Elephas maximus indicus: one gene and its partner. The protein of the gene in region 1 purifies or fractionates together with the protein of each later gene. This does not show direct contact. Links are inferred from orthologs where the notes say so. Each region holds a gene or a part of one and is shown in the gene's direction. Other genes may lie near its edges.

Region 1 (7,134 bases):
ACATCTTTCTCCCACATAGCAGCTGGTGGGTTTAAACATCCAGCCTTTTGGTTAGCAGCCAACTGCTTAATCACTGTGCCACCAGGGCTCCTTTCTCAATTGATTATTCTTCTCCATATCACTGGAGAGGAGGCCTGCGTGTGTCCTCGCCTGGATGATGAGGGTCAGGGTACAGTGATGTGAGTGTGACCTGAGACACTTGACCACCAATTCTCAATCCTAATTCCTCCTACCCAGACTCAAATCTGATGAGTTCATTGGGAAATGGTTAGAAAAGGTTAGATTTTATGATAATTCAGTTTTGTAATCAAGGTAATTGATGCTGGTTAAAAGTAGAATACTTTTTCCCTTTAAAATAATTTGTATAAGTTGTATCTTCCATTTCTACCTTCATGGACTTCATCTTCAAGTATTTGGCAAAAGCAATGCTAATAAGTCACTTTGAGGTACAGGGACATCTGGCCTTGAAAAGAAAAGTGTTTCAATATAGGTTTTTAGAAGGGTGAGTGACTGCTTTCCATGCTGGTAAATATCTTAAGTAGAAGCCCTATGGCTGTAAGTTAGATATAAGAAAGAAGTTCCCTAAAATAAAATATTCTTACACTTGTTAAAAAAAAAGACCATTGCCATCAAGTCGATTCCAACTTATAGCAACCCTATAGGACAGAGTAGAACTGCCCCATAGGGTTTCCGAGGCCGTAATCTTTACAGAAGCAGACTGCCACGTCATTCTCCCACATAGTGGCTGGTGGGTTTGAACTGTTGACTTTTTGGTTAGTAGCTGAGTGCTTAACCACTATTCCAATATTAAAAAGAAAAACCTAATCTGTCCTGGATACTATACATTCTACCTGTAACCCATTGCCATCGAGTCGATTCCGACTCATAGCGACCCTATAGGACAGAGTAGAACTGCCCCATAGAGTTTCCAAGGAGCATCTGGTGGATTCGAACGGCCAACTTTTAGGTTAGCAGCTGTAGCACTTAACCACTACACAATCAGGGTTTCCCTGTATGTTCTGCTTGAAGGAAAGGGAAGTACTGAGTTAGGACCTGGAAGAAAACCCAGTCCAAACTGGACTAAGCAAAAAGGGACTTTATTGGCTCAGAGAGCTGGGAATCACAGGAGGTAGCCTCAGGCATAGCTAGATCCAGGAGCATGATGTCCCTAGGACCTGGTCTCTGTCTCTCTTTTATGGGCTGGCTTCATTCTTAGGGGAAGTCTCAGTCTCTCTCAACAGCTCCAGGAAAAGTCTCAGTTGGTTTCTTGGTCCAAAGGGATGGTCCAGAGATGGAGTCAGCTCCAAAAAAGCAAATCAACTGAAAGGAGGGGAAGAGAGATCATTCTCCTAAAGAAAAACTGCTGTCGAGACTGTTCTATTCCCACAAATCCCCTTTTCCCACTCACCAGGAATCCAGGGTCTTCCTCAGGGGCCCACTCTTGCTGGATCAAGCTCAAGGGGGGTGGTTATTTAAATGGCCCAAGGAAACCCAAGCGCAGGAAGAGTAATAGCAGCTCATGAAACAGGGGCCTGCAGCCGCCCTGCCCAGGTGCTCTGTACAATGGTCTCTTTAACTTCTCAAGACTCAACATGACCATCAGACCCAGGTCTACCTGAGAGACCCAAGGGCTCCAAGACCCTCTGTCTCACTTAGGCTCTGGGTTTTTTGTTTTTGTTTTGGTGAAAATATACACAGCAGGACATCCATCAGTTTCTACATGTACAGTTCAATAACATTGGTTATATTCTTCACATTGCGTCACCATTCTTGTTATCTCTACCCGTACTGTTTCACCACCACTAACTTTAGACTCTATTGCATAAACTTCTCATCTTTGCTTTAGAGCCACTGTTGACGATTTGATCTCATATACATAATTCTTTAAAAGAGCACAATGCTCATGTAGAACATTCTTTACTAATTTAGCTATGTAAAGATGTCTTCAGGGGACAATTTCAGTTCATGGTTTGAAGATTTTCTTAGAGTGATAGATTTGGGGGTTGTTCCAGTCTCAATAGGTCCAGTAAGTCTGGATTCTGTAAGAATTTAAAATTCTGTTCCACATTTTCCCCCTTTTGATCAGGATTCATCTATTGATTCCATGATCAAAACATTCAGTAATGGTAGCCAAGCACTATCCAGTTCTGATCTCATGGCTAAGGGGCAGTAGTTCATGGAGGCAGTTAGATCTGCAATCCAGCTCCTTCTCTGATTCCTGGGTCTCTTTCCTTTGCTGCTCCTGGCAGATACAGACCAATTGTTGTATCTTGGATGGCTGCAGTACTCACTGAACTAGGGAGTAGAACAGCAACTCTAAAAACATAATTAGGCCAAATGACTAGAGAGTCCCACAAGGCTCTGGGTTTTTTAGTTAAATTTGCAAGAGAGGAACTGATTGGCTGGGTTTGGGTCAGATGCCTACCCTCAGCTCCATCAGTTGTGGGGGAGGGGCTGAAGGGGATGGAGGTTATTACCTGGTGTAAAAGACTGCCTTCACCTCCTCCCTCCTTCGGGCTGTGGTGGGGAGGAGTCAATGAGTCACAATTCTAGTAAAGTTGAGATTCCAACAGTAGAGCATCCGCTCCTAGCCCGTGTGCGCGAAGCCACCTGGTTTTGCCCTGCCTCTCTGAGGCCCTTTCCTCCCAAACTCTGCCTCACTGCACGGGGTAGGTGACTCAGTGTCTTTCTCCGCCCTCCCCTCTCCTCTCAGAGAGTGAACTGCTGCCTTCGTGTGAGCCCTGTCTACATTCTCTGGGCTGCCCTTTATGAGTTCTCTTCTTCCTCAACACCCTGCCACTTCTAACCCGAGTTGCCAGTTGCCACTTTTCCATTTAATCTGCTGCCTGCTCCAGTTGCCTACTCCTTTCGCTTGTTCCGCAGCTGGCTCTGTAGCCCAACACCTTCCGCCTTCGGGGACGTTTGTTGGCCTAAGCGCATGGCCCGCAGACTCTGCATTCAGCGTGAATCCGTTAATTCTCGAAGCCTGCTCCCGGTAGGCCTCCCGCAGGACGCCGGGGACACTCGGTGGTGAACTAGATGAGCAGCTTGAGTCATCACGCGTTCACAGCTTAGCGAGGACAGCGATGGCCCCACCACACACATGAACCGAGAGCCGCGGTGCAGGGCCAGGCCCGGGGCTGTAAGCGGGCTGCCCGCGATGCGCTCGACTGGCAGGCCGGAATCACCGTTTACTTCGGCGCGTGGTGATACCCAGCTGGGGACGTTCTTGCAAAACGCAACGTTTTTTACTTCTCGGAAAAGGCTTGCGAGCAGCTTTGCTATAGCGGAAAAGTGCTAATTTGCAGTGCAAATTCGGCGCAGAGGGGAGTTTTCTCCGTGATCGTTCCTACTAGCGCAAGGCTCTGCCAATCCCGCGCCTTGTGCAAGCGGGACCCAGACGCCGGAAGCATTGTGTCAGCAGCGCAGAGGAGCAACAGTCCGGGCCGCTACTCTGTATCCACGCCACCTCCGGTTCCCAGTTCCCCAGCCCCGCCTACAACTGTCTCCAGGGGCTCGCAGCCGGCTGTAATACCCCGTGGCCTGAGAGCCACCTCGCCCACCCAGGCTAGGCCCTGTTTCAGCACCATCCGCTACATCAACTCCCGGTGGTCTCCCAGCCCCGAGGCCGAGAGGGAGGCCCAGTAGCCTGAGAATCTTGTATTAGCGCGGGGTCCCCTCGGCACCGTTCAGCTAACCAGACCCCCCTCCCCGAACGCTTCTACCCTGACGGAGGTTCCAGCAATGACTAGCCCTTGCGGGGCCGCCAGGCGTGTCCCTGCGCAGGCACAGATCCGTGCGCACGTCAGTCCCACCCCTCGCTGTCGCCCCGTGCTCGTGCGCACGCAGGCACTCCCCCTCACACACACACGCACACGACCGCGAGCACACTCGGCCGCTCAGGGCGCTTAAGAGCCTAGAAGGGTCAGCGCGCCTGGTGCGAACCGGAGTGGCCCGGAGCAGGGCCCTGGGCGGTGTCCGGGGCGGGCCCTGGGCGGAGCTCGCCCGACTGGGAGCGCAGGGCGGGGGCGGGTCCGCGCCGCCGCCGTCCGCGCTGCCTCCGCCCCCGGTCCGCCGCTCGCTGGGTTCGTCTGCGCCGCAGCCCCCGCCGTAGTCACCACTGAACCCGCTGCTGCCGCCTCTGAGGTAGGCGCAGTGGGAAGGGCAGTCTCTGCCTGCGCCCCATGCCGCCGACCGGGCCCCTGGGTAGCTGAGAGGGAGGACGTGGGAGGAGGAGCGGGCGAGGGCGAGGGGCCCCCGAGCCCGGCCTGAGGGAGGGAGAGGGAGCGGTCCGCTCGGGCCTGGCGGGTCAGCCGCGGACGGAGCAGGCCGCACGGGCGGGTGCCGAGTGGGCCCGGGCGGGGAGCGGGAGGCCGGGGATCCAGAGGCGCCTGCGGCTAGGAACGAAAGCCGCCCGGACATGCGGGCGGAAGGGCACGGGCAGCCGCGTGGAGCCCCGGCCAGCAGCGGGTCTAGGTGACCTTCCTTGACGCCCTCTGGCCCACGATTCTGACAGCCCTGCTCGGGCTGGGGCACGCCCGCCGCCGCCCACGCTGCCCGGGCCAGACCCGCGGCCCTGTGCGGGCCACACTGCCGCCGCAGGGATGAGCCGCAGGTGGTGACTGCGGCCCCGCGCCCCGCACGCTCTGCCCAGTCCACGCCCGAAGGAGCTGCCACCCGGCAGTACGCGCGGGCCAGCGCCTCCCCGGGCGGAACGGGTGCCGGAGAGTCGATTTAGGCCTCAGGGGCTGGACTCGGGTTTAGGCCTCAGAAGAGGAGGCTGTGCGGGGATCGTTGTGGCCCCTGAGGCCTTAGAAGGGATTTCTGGTTCGGTCACTCATTCATTCACCGAACACGGCTGTGTGCATGCAGGGAACTAGGAGCTCGACTTTGGGTTTGAGGCCCGCAGCATAAGTGAGTTGTGCAAGGTCACACAACTGGGAAGAAACCAAGCCTAAGTCTTCTTATCTGTAAAATGGGAGCAGCTATACCTCTCCTTCTTGGGGATTTTGGGAAGAATAAAGTGAGATGATTAAGTTGTAAAACCTTCAGAACCTTGCCAGACTCCAAGAAGGCCTCGGTAAAAACCATGAAACTTAACCAGCTTCAGACTTTTGGGGAAGATCAAGTCCATCCTCCTCAGAGCGCTTTCCTCCACGTGGTGTTCTCCAAAGGGCTCAGAAAATGTAGTCCCTGTTATTTTAAACATTATGGAGGTATTATTAATAACCGTTTGTGTGCAAAGCATTGAGTAACTTTAAGGATAATTCACAAAAAATCTTGTAAGTTTACAGACTGATAAAGTCAGGCTGGGGCAGGAAGTTTGAATGCAGGGGGAGACCCGGCTGCACCCCATGGCCCCATCTTCTTGACCAGCCTCCCCTCTCCAGAGAGGATAGGGAAATGGGCTCTTCCTTTGCCAAGATTTCTGCTCTTTCCTAGGCCAGGGCTGACTCCCCAGGGCCTGCCTTCTTTCTCTCCACTCCAGCTCTGGTCTGACTGAGCTCCTGGGGGGGTCAGGCTTCGACCTGGTGCAGCCTTGTTCTTAGGGCCTGCAGTGGCACCTGGCAGACAGTAGGTGCTTGAGAAGGATCTGTGGGGGTAAGTGCACTATTGCTTTTTTTTCTAAGAGTTGACTCACTGTTATTGACAAAAGGTTAGTTTTATTATTCAGGCATCTGGCACATAGTAGGTGCTCAGGTGTGGAATGATTGAATGGGCATAGGTAGTGACTGCAGGCCCAGACCATAGTCCCGGATCTTGGACATCGTTTTTTGGGCGACACACATCTCACTCACTTCCAGAAAATGGCCTCACTTAGCAGAGTCTCAAAGATTTAAAGATCTACAATGGTATGTACATACAGCCTTGGAGCCGTGAGAGGCAAAAATCACAGTGAAACCTGTGAGAGCCAGAACTGCCATGTTTTTCCAGGTCTCACAAGTTTTCTGCCTTTGACAGGGTATAGGCTTAACACCTTTCTATTGCTCATTTTAGTGGAAAATATTTGCATTTTTCTTTTTTGATAGGTTTCTGCCTTACACAAGTTCCAGCTTTCGCAGGTTTTACTGTATTTCCTATTTTGAAATAACTGCTTGAAGTGCATTATCTTCATTCTGTGACTGTCCAAGTCCAGAAACTTGTTGAACTGGTGTTTCTGGGCTTGAGAGGAGGGTGACATGGGTGAATTGGGATTCTCTGAAAGGCCTTGAACTGGCATCCCTCCCTCTGTAGTGGTGCGTGAGTGGGTGGGTTGATGGCTTCTGCTGGAGGTGCCCTGGGTGAAGCCTATGCCTGACCCCACTGGGAGAGGGAGCTGTTCTCAGTTGATTATTTAGTTTTATCTCTGCAGTTCTAGAATGGGAGTTAGGGTGGGGAGCCATTTATAGACATATTTTACAGATCAGAAACCTGGAGCTCAGGACTTGGGGACCATATGGTGAGGAGGTGCCCGTGGGCCTTTGGTCTGCTGGACACTGGGCAGATGTGGATGAGGAGCTCCAGGCTGGTGGCGATGAAGGCGCTAACCGCTCATTCAGTGCTGCAGAGGCACTGAAGTCCACTTTACCCTTGATGGAATATCCCATGGTATAATGCGTCAGAATCGGCTTGACGGCAACCAACAACAACAAAGTCTTTGTTGATAGTGACTGGGAGGGGAATATCTATGCTGAGAGCCTTCCATAGCCCAACCTCCGACAGTCCTTCTGGGTGCCCACAGGGTCTATGGTCCATGGCCTTTGGTTCCCCAGAGATTCCTGTGGTAGCTGCCAAGGAAAGGTGACCAGTGAGATACTGAGCCTGGCACAGTCAGGGGGGGTGTGTGTAGGGATGAATAGGATTCTAAGCCCTTTACCTAGAATAGGGCTGGGAAGAGACCTGGAAAGCAGTCTGGGCTCAGAACACAGGTGACATGAGCTGTAGGGTCTAATACAAGTCAAGCCACTTTCTGGTGCCTCACTTTCCCAGTATAAATGTGTGATCATCATCATCTTAGCAATTCTTTATTAAGGGCCTGATCAGCACCGTCCTGGGGGCTTGGCATGTGTTCGGTGACATTGAATCCACTGCCCTGCAAGCCTTGGGAGAGAGGGACACTTGTCTCCATTTCATGGGTCAGGAGACTTGAGCACA
Region 2 (7,002 bases), on another chromosome or scaffold:
ATGGTTGCATATTACACAAACCTTGTATTAAACGTATTAAATTTGTACCTTCTTCAGATGATTTTAAGAAAAAAAATGCAAGCTTTTACTTAGTATCTTCTACTTAATATTTGATTTCATTCTTCACTAGTAAGGATTCCTGGGTGGCACGAGTGGTTTGCATTCTACTGGTACAGTGGTAAAGAGCTGGGCTGCTAATCAAAAGGTCGACAGTTTGAATCCACCACTCACTCCTTGGAAACCCCATGGGGCAGGCCTACTCTGTCCTATAGGGTTGCTATGAGTCGGAATCCACTCGACAGCAATGGGTTTGGTTTTCTGGTTTACTAAAGGCTGGTGGTTCGAACCCACCCAACAGCCCCACAGAAGAAATGCCTGGTGATCGGCTTCCATAAAAATTACAGCCAAGAAAACTCTACGGAACGGTTCTACTCTGTAACACCTGGGTTGCCATGAGTCAGAACTGACTTGACACAATGGGTTTGGTTTTTGTTTTCTTCACTAGTAATATAAATGAAAAATGTGCCTCTCCATCTGTATTCCCTCTCTCAATTAACAGCACTAACATATGCCCAATTCCTCACCCAAGCCAGACATCAGTATGGTCAGAGTAGATTCCTTCTTCTCCACATTAAATTTAGCACTAAATCTATGCTGCCTTCTTAGTAACTCTTATCCAATCCCTCTGTTCAATCCCATAGCCTCTGACCTGATTTCAACATCATATCTTGCTTAGTTTCCAAAGCTTCAGTCACCCAACAATAATTAACACAATTTTTGCCTCGTCTGTGCACTGTGAGAGTCATACTTACTTCTTAAATTTATCTTAAGAGAAAACTTACTATCAGTCTCATAAATAAAAAGCCAGGGTAATACTCCATACATTAAAAAAATTCAATAAAATGAAAACAAAATGCCATTAAATTCTAGAATTAATGTTATTAAACTTTGAAACCCAAGGGAGTTGGGAAGGGAAGGGGAAGAACACCTTGGCTCTACTCTTCCTCCCCCTAAATCTTCCACTACTATGGGATATAGAAGATAGGGGAGGGAGCCTGTCGGGGCCAACTTGCCTTCCCCCAGGTTGTCATCAAGGGTAGAAAATGGCAATGACTAGTTCTAAGGGCATATAGGCCCAAAACCACAACAAGAACCTTACTCTGAAAGTTGGTAACTAAAGGAAGAATTATGCATCTAGCCTGCCTTTTCCATAGGACTGTATTTCGGGATAACATTATAAAGATAACCAAATATCACCTAAAACACAATATAAGTAAATAAATAAAGTTAACCAAATAGCCCTACAACCAAAACCAAACCAAACTCCTTGCTGTTGAGTAGATTCCCTAGTTGATGAGAAACTCATTTCACAAAAGAACATCAGCTAGTAATGAATGTACAAAGAATAATGGAATTAGAAAAATAATTATTCCTAACGAAATAAGTGACTTAGGCATGGATACTAAAAAAAAAAAAAAAAGTACAGCCGTCCAGTCAATTCCGACTCATAGCAACCCTGTAGGACAGAGTAGAAGTGCCCCATAGGGTTTCCAAGGCTGTAAATCCTAAGAGAAGCAGAATACCACATCACTCTCCTGCAGAGTGGCTGGTGGGTTCCAACCGCCAACCTTTTGGTCAGCAGCTGAGTGCTTTAACCACTGTACCACCAGGGCTCCTTAAGGATGCTAAAACACATATGTATATATAGAGTTGACGGCAAACTAGATATATTGGCATGATTCCAAAGTATTACCCCACTAATACTTGCTCTCACAAGGAGGAAACCATTACTTTATAACATTAAAGACTGTCATCTTTACTCTATAATCTTAGCACTATGAGACGTTATGGACTTCTTTATATGATTCATTATGGAATACACAGGATTATCCATGAAATATTCTTCCCCAAAGTGTTTAACTTGAATCTAATCAAGCCTTCAGATTTAAGTTCCAATTTACAGGAACTATAGGAAACCCTGGTGGCATAGTGGTTAAATGCTACGGCTGCTAATGAAAAGGTGGGCAGTTCGAATCTGCTAGGTGCTCCTTGGAAGCTCTATGGGGCAGTTCTACTCTGTCCTACAGAGGAGCTACGAGTCAGAATCGACTCGACTGCAGTGGGTGTGTTTTTTTTTTCTTTCTTTTTCATAGGAAACCCTGGTGGCATAATGGTTAAGAGTTATGGCTGCTAACCAAAAAGTCAGCAGTTCGAATCCACCAGGTGCTCCTTGGAAACCATATGGGGCAGTTCTACTCTGTCCTATAGGGTTGCTATGAGTTGGAACCAACTCGACGGCATTGGCTTTGGTTTTGGGTTTTGGTATGACAATAATAACCAAAATTGATTTGTGGCTTTTGATTGGATACTGTTGTTGTCAGGTGCCATGGAGTCGGTTCCAACTCATAGTGACCCTATGTACAACAGAACAATCGGATATTAGTTTTTTTGGGGAAAAAAACAACTTTAAAAAATATTTGAGAGGCAACTGAGGAAATATAAATATGGAATGTGTATTAGATTATATAAAGGAATTTCTATTAATTTTGTTCTGTACGATGACATATGGTGGTTACGTAGAAAAAATTCCTGCTATTTTAGAGATGTATAGTTAAGTATTTGGAGCCCTGGTGGTGCACTGGTTAAGAGCTATGGCTGCTATCCAAGAAGTCGGCAGTTGAAATCCACCAGTTGCTCCTGGAAACCCTAGGGGCAGTTCTACTCTGTCCTATAGGGTCGCTATGAGTCAGAATCGACGTGATGGCAACAGGCCTGGGGTATACTTAAGTATTTAGAGGTGAAATATCCTGATATTTGTAACTTATATACTTTAAAACATTACAGAGATAAGGAAATATATTTAAAATGTTAAATCTGAGTAATGGATATATGGATACTCATTATACTAGTTTCTGTTTTCTGTGACAATTTAATCTTGATTTAAATAGTTAGAACTAAAGAGAAACAAAAGTGAATAGAATAGAAAACGGGCAAAGAGAATTTAAGTAACTTGCCCAAGATCACGCAGCTAGTAAGGGGCGCAGCTAGACAGTTTGACTCTTAACCACAATATTATCCTGGGCTTGGTACACTGTAGGTGCTCAATAAACGCTTGTTAAATAAGTAGCATGGAAGAGTTTAGTGTTCCTTTTTCACCTAATCACGAAAAGAGGTGTGAATCCCAAATACTCTGTTTCTCTTAAGAGCCATGTCAAGTCAGAATTGTTATCGCCAGAACGTCTGGCACTGCACTATTCACACTCTGGTTTTAAGACAGCTTGAGTAAGATCGCTTCCTCGAGAACTGCAAAACCTTTTCCTATTTCTTTTTGGAGTGGATTGGGGAGGAATAAGGTGTCAAAGACCACTGGTTTCCTGGTGGGACTGGGGGCTGAAAGAAAGGATGGCTCTACTAAGTACCTGACTCGCCCTATGCAGACTCCAGAAACACCGTCTTCCGGAGCTGCCTGACTGGGTATCTGAAATCCATCCCCTTAACGCCCAGAGTCCGGGACTTGAACCCAGTTTTCCAGAGAAGCCCTCCTTGTGCGAAGACAGGGCGTGGGCACTGGGAAGATGGAGCCATCCGGGCCCTCTTACCTCATCCCGGCACTGTTTCTGGCACATCTGACAATACCAGCGAAGCTTCTGAAGCCCCTTGGATTTGATCCTGTTGGAGATGGCCTTGGGGGTAAGAAAATCCGACTTCCCCATCGCGACGACACACACAGTAACTTTTAAGCCCAGAGCCTAACCAACCGGAAGCGGAACGGACTGGCGGAAGTGGGCGGGAGAAACAGTGAAGGTAGCTGAGCGACGGAAGGAGGTGGGCGCTTAAAAGGCTGGCTACCAAAGCTCGCGAGTTTTCCCTCCGTCTGGCGGGAGGAAGCGAGACTGAAGGAGAAAGGGAGATTGGGGGCGGCCACTTGGGAAGCTTCCGCGCACGCGTAGTGAGTCTGTTTGACCGACCTTCAGTAAAGCCGGTACCGCCATGTTCTCTCGGGCTACCCTCGTTGGGGTCTCGGCCTGGGCTTTGCAGCCGCAATGGTATGACAGCTTGCGGTAGGAACGGGAGAATTAGGATGGATGGAAGAGCTCGGTCAGGTGGGAAGAAGGCATTGGAGGCGTGTAGGACGGGCCAGGGGGCTCAGGTCTGGACTAGGCCTCCTTTTTGCTGCAGAGGCCCGGCGAAACTGGGGCTGCAGGAAGCGCTTTAGAACGGGGAAGGGCGCGCGGAGAGGCTGGACACGGCGAGTCAGTGCAAGGTCACGCCAAGTCTCCTGAGGCTTGTCGGGGCGGGGTGACGGGCAAAAGGAGTGGTAATCTTGGATCTCGGGATGGAGACTTTAGTCTAAAGTAATTTCAGGACGTTCTTGAATTCATTCATCTAAGAAATGATTATTGAGTGCTACTACTTGCCAGGCAACTAGTATCGTAGAGTCCTTAGCAAAGCTCACAAGGTAGAGGTAGGGCATAACTGAGAAAAAGCCTAGGGGCAGTTGTGCTTTATGTCCTTGACGCCTTTTGAAACCTCCCAGTGCTGGGCAGAGTTTGAAGTGCGCCAGTGCAGAGCAACAAAACCAAACCAACCCTGTTGCCCTCGAGTCGATTCCGACTCATAACGACCCTGTAGGACAGGGTAGAATTCCCCCATAGGGCTTCCAAGGAGCGGCTGGTGGATTCGTAGTGCTAACCTTTTGTTTAGCAGCCGAGCTCTTAACCGCTCTGCGACCAGTGCTCCAATACAGAGCACAGTAAACCTCTTAAGTTCCATTCAGCCAGAATATTTATTAAGCGCCTACTGTTTGTATTTACTAGACGTTCTGATGGGCACTGAAGAAACGAAGGTGAATTGAAAAAATGCAGTCATGGGCTGATGGTAGTTTTGATGCAGAAGGGACCTTAAAGATCTGTCTGTGCAAGGAGAAGGGAAGGACACCTCGTACTATCATGAAACCATTATGCTGCAGTAGTGACCCTGCAAGGTCATGAAATTGCCCCAAAGAGCAGGAGATAGATGCCATCTGTTAACTGCCATGCAGGTAAAGGGTGCAACAAGTTTGAAGGATTTTAAAGATTGGTTTGAGGAATTTCTGACATAGTACTAAAGGAATTATTACCTATAGGCGTGTCATAGCAATTCCTTGGTTTTATAGTATGGGAGATTTGTAAGGAACTAAATTAGGTTTTCGTGAAAGCATTAATTGAAATAGATACATTTTTCATTAAGCAAAGAATTCATAACAATATATAAGACTTTCAGAGGAATGAGGTAATTAAATCTAAAGTGAAATAGCTACATAAAATTTTTGGTGGACTTCCATTGGAAGTCAAATTTTTTTTTTCTAAACTTGAAACAGAATTATGGGAATCAAGTCACTGTAGCTGAGTTCTTAGGTGTTTAGGTTGTCCTGTTTGTTAGTCACTCAGCAGACAGTTGTTGAGTGCCTGGTCTGCATCAAGTTGCACTGTGATAAGCCCTAAAATGTGATGATGAACAAATAGCCATAGTCTCACTGAGTTTCGTGGTACTTGAGAGCATAATTTCTGGCACACAGTGGTGCTCAACAGACGTCAACTGTCCTCTCATTTTGCTGTGCACCAATGTTATCTGTCACAGTACTTTTAGAACTTTCAGTAGCACCCAAGTTGATCTTTAAAAAGCGGAAAGTTTTCGCAGCCAGCACAAAATATTTTACATCAAATTTTAGAAATAAAAAAATGAACACCTCTAAAACAATTTGAAGTTCTTTTAATAAAAGATTGTTTTAAATGAGAGTGCTAATCTGAGACAACTACTACTAGGGGCCTAAGTTGGAACCTCAGTCAGCAAATAAAAGTCATAGTCTTGACCTTAATCCCTTTAGAACGTCAGTTTTAAATTGGAACGTTGGTGCTCCGGTATGCTAAGCATAGCCTTTCCACTTCCTTTCTGGGTTGATATCTGGTTGCTCTGTCCTGTGTTCTAGTCTTGGGTTGTCCTCTTCCTTGTCACGTAATTCCATCATTCTTGGTGCCTAATGTGTTTCCTGCCTCTTCCACCGTTTCTCTGCCTGTTAATATTTTTTAAACTCGGAAATTAAAACCATCTTAATGTTTCACACTCCACAGAACTAAGTTGGCGAGGGGTATAAAAACCTTTGCCTTTACAGATCCCTGAGAAGGCATTTCCTCAGTTTTGTTTAGATTACTGAACATTTTTTTCCTTTTTTAATTTTTACTGTCTTTAAGTGAAACTTTACAAATCAAGTCAGTCTCATATAAAAATTTATATACACCTTGCTATGTACTCTGGTTGCTATCCCCCTAATGAGACAGCACACTCTTTCTCTCCAGCCCCTATTTCTGTGTCCATTCAGCCAGCTTCTGTCCCCCCTGCCTTCTCATCTCCCCTCCAGACAGGAGCTGCCCACATAGCCTCATGTGTCTACTTGATCCAAGAAGCTCAGTCCTCACCAGTATCATTTTCTGTCCTATAGTCTAGTCCAGTTCCTCTCTGAAGAGTTGGCTTTGGGAATGGTTCCTGTCTTTGGCTAACAGAAGGTCTGGGGACCATGACCTCCTGGGTCCTTCTAGTCTCAGTCAGACCATTAAGTCTGGGCTTTTTACAAGAATTCGAGGTCTGCATCCCACTGCTCTCCTGCTCCTTCAGAGTTTCTCTGTTGTGTTCCCTGTCAGGGCAGACATCAGTTGTAGCCGGGCATTATCTAGTTCTTCTGGTCTCAGGCTGATGGAATCTCTGGTTTATATGGCCCTTTCTGTCTCTTGGGCTCGTAATTACCTTGTGTCTTTGGCGTTCTTCATTCTTCTTTGCTCCAGGTGGGTTGAAAACAATTGATGCGTCTTAGATGGCCGCTTGCTAGCGTTTAAAGCCCCAGACACCACTCTCCCAAGTAGGATGCAGAATGTTTTCTTAATAGATTTTATTATGCCAGTTGACCTAGATGGCCCCTGAAACCATGGTCCCCAAACCCCTGCCCCTGTTACGCTGGCCTTCGAAGCA

The links. The genes of interacting proteins can lie anywhere in the genome.
Region 2: the proteins of VDAC1 (region 1) and ATP5F1C fractionate together in Homo sapiens (co-fractionation; 3 studies listed by BioGRID, with this or other methods). This does not show direct contact. The link is inferred for Elephas maximus indicus from reciprocal best matches to the Homo sapiens genes VDAC1 and ATP5F1C.

What each region holds. Positions count from the first base shown.
Region 1 is NC_064820.1:146,391,056-146,398,189, reverse strand, and holds the start of VDAC1 (voltage-dependent anion-selective channel protein 1), read left to right. Parts: upstream 1-4,037; 5' UTR 4,038-4,146; intron 4,147-7,134. UniProt on the Homo sapiens protein: Non-selective voltage-gated ion channel that mediates the transport of anions and cations through the mitochondrion outer membrane and plasma membrane.
Region 2 is NC_064822.1:50,561,974-50,568,975, reverse strand, and holds the start of ATP5F1C (ATP synthase subunit gamma, mitochondrial), read left to right. Parts: upstream 1-3,933; 5' UTR 3,934-3,990; coding exon 3,991-4,046; exon of another isoform or gene 4,047-4,103; intron 4,104-4,817; exon of another isoform or gene 4,818-5,041; intron 5,042-7,002. Other genes in the region: KIN (DNA/RNA-binding protein KIN17), read right to left, coding at 3,600-3,713.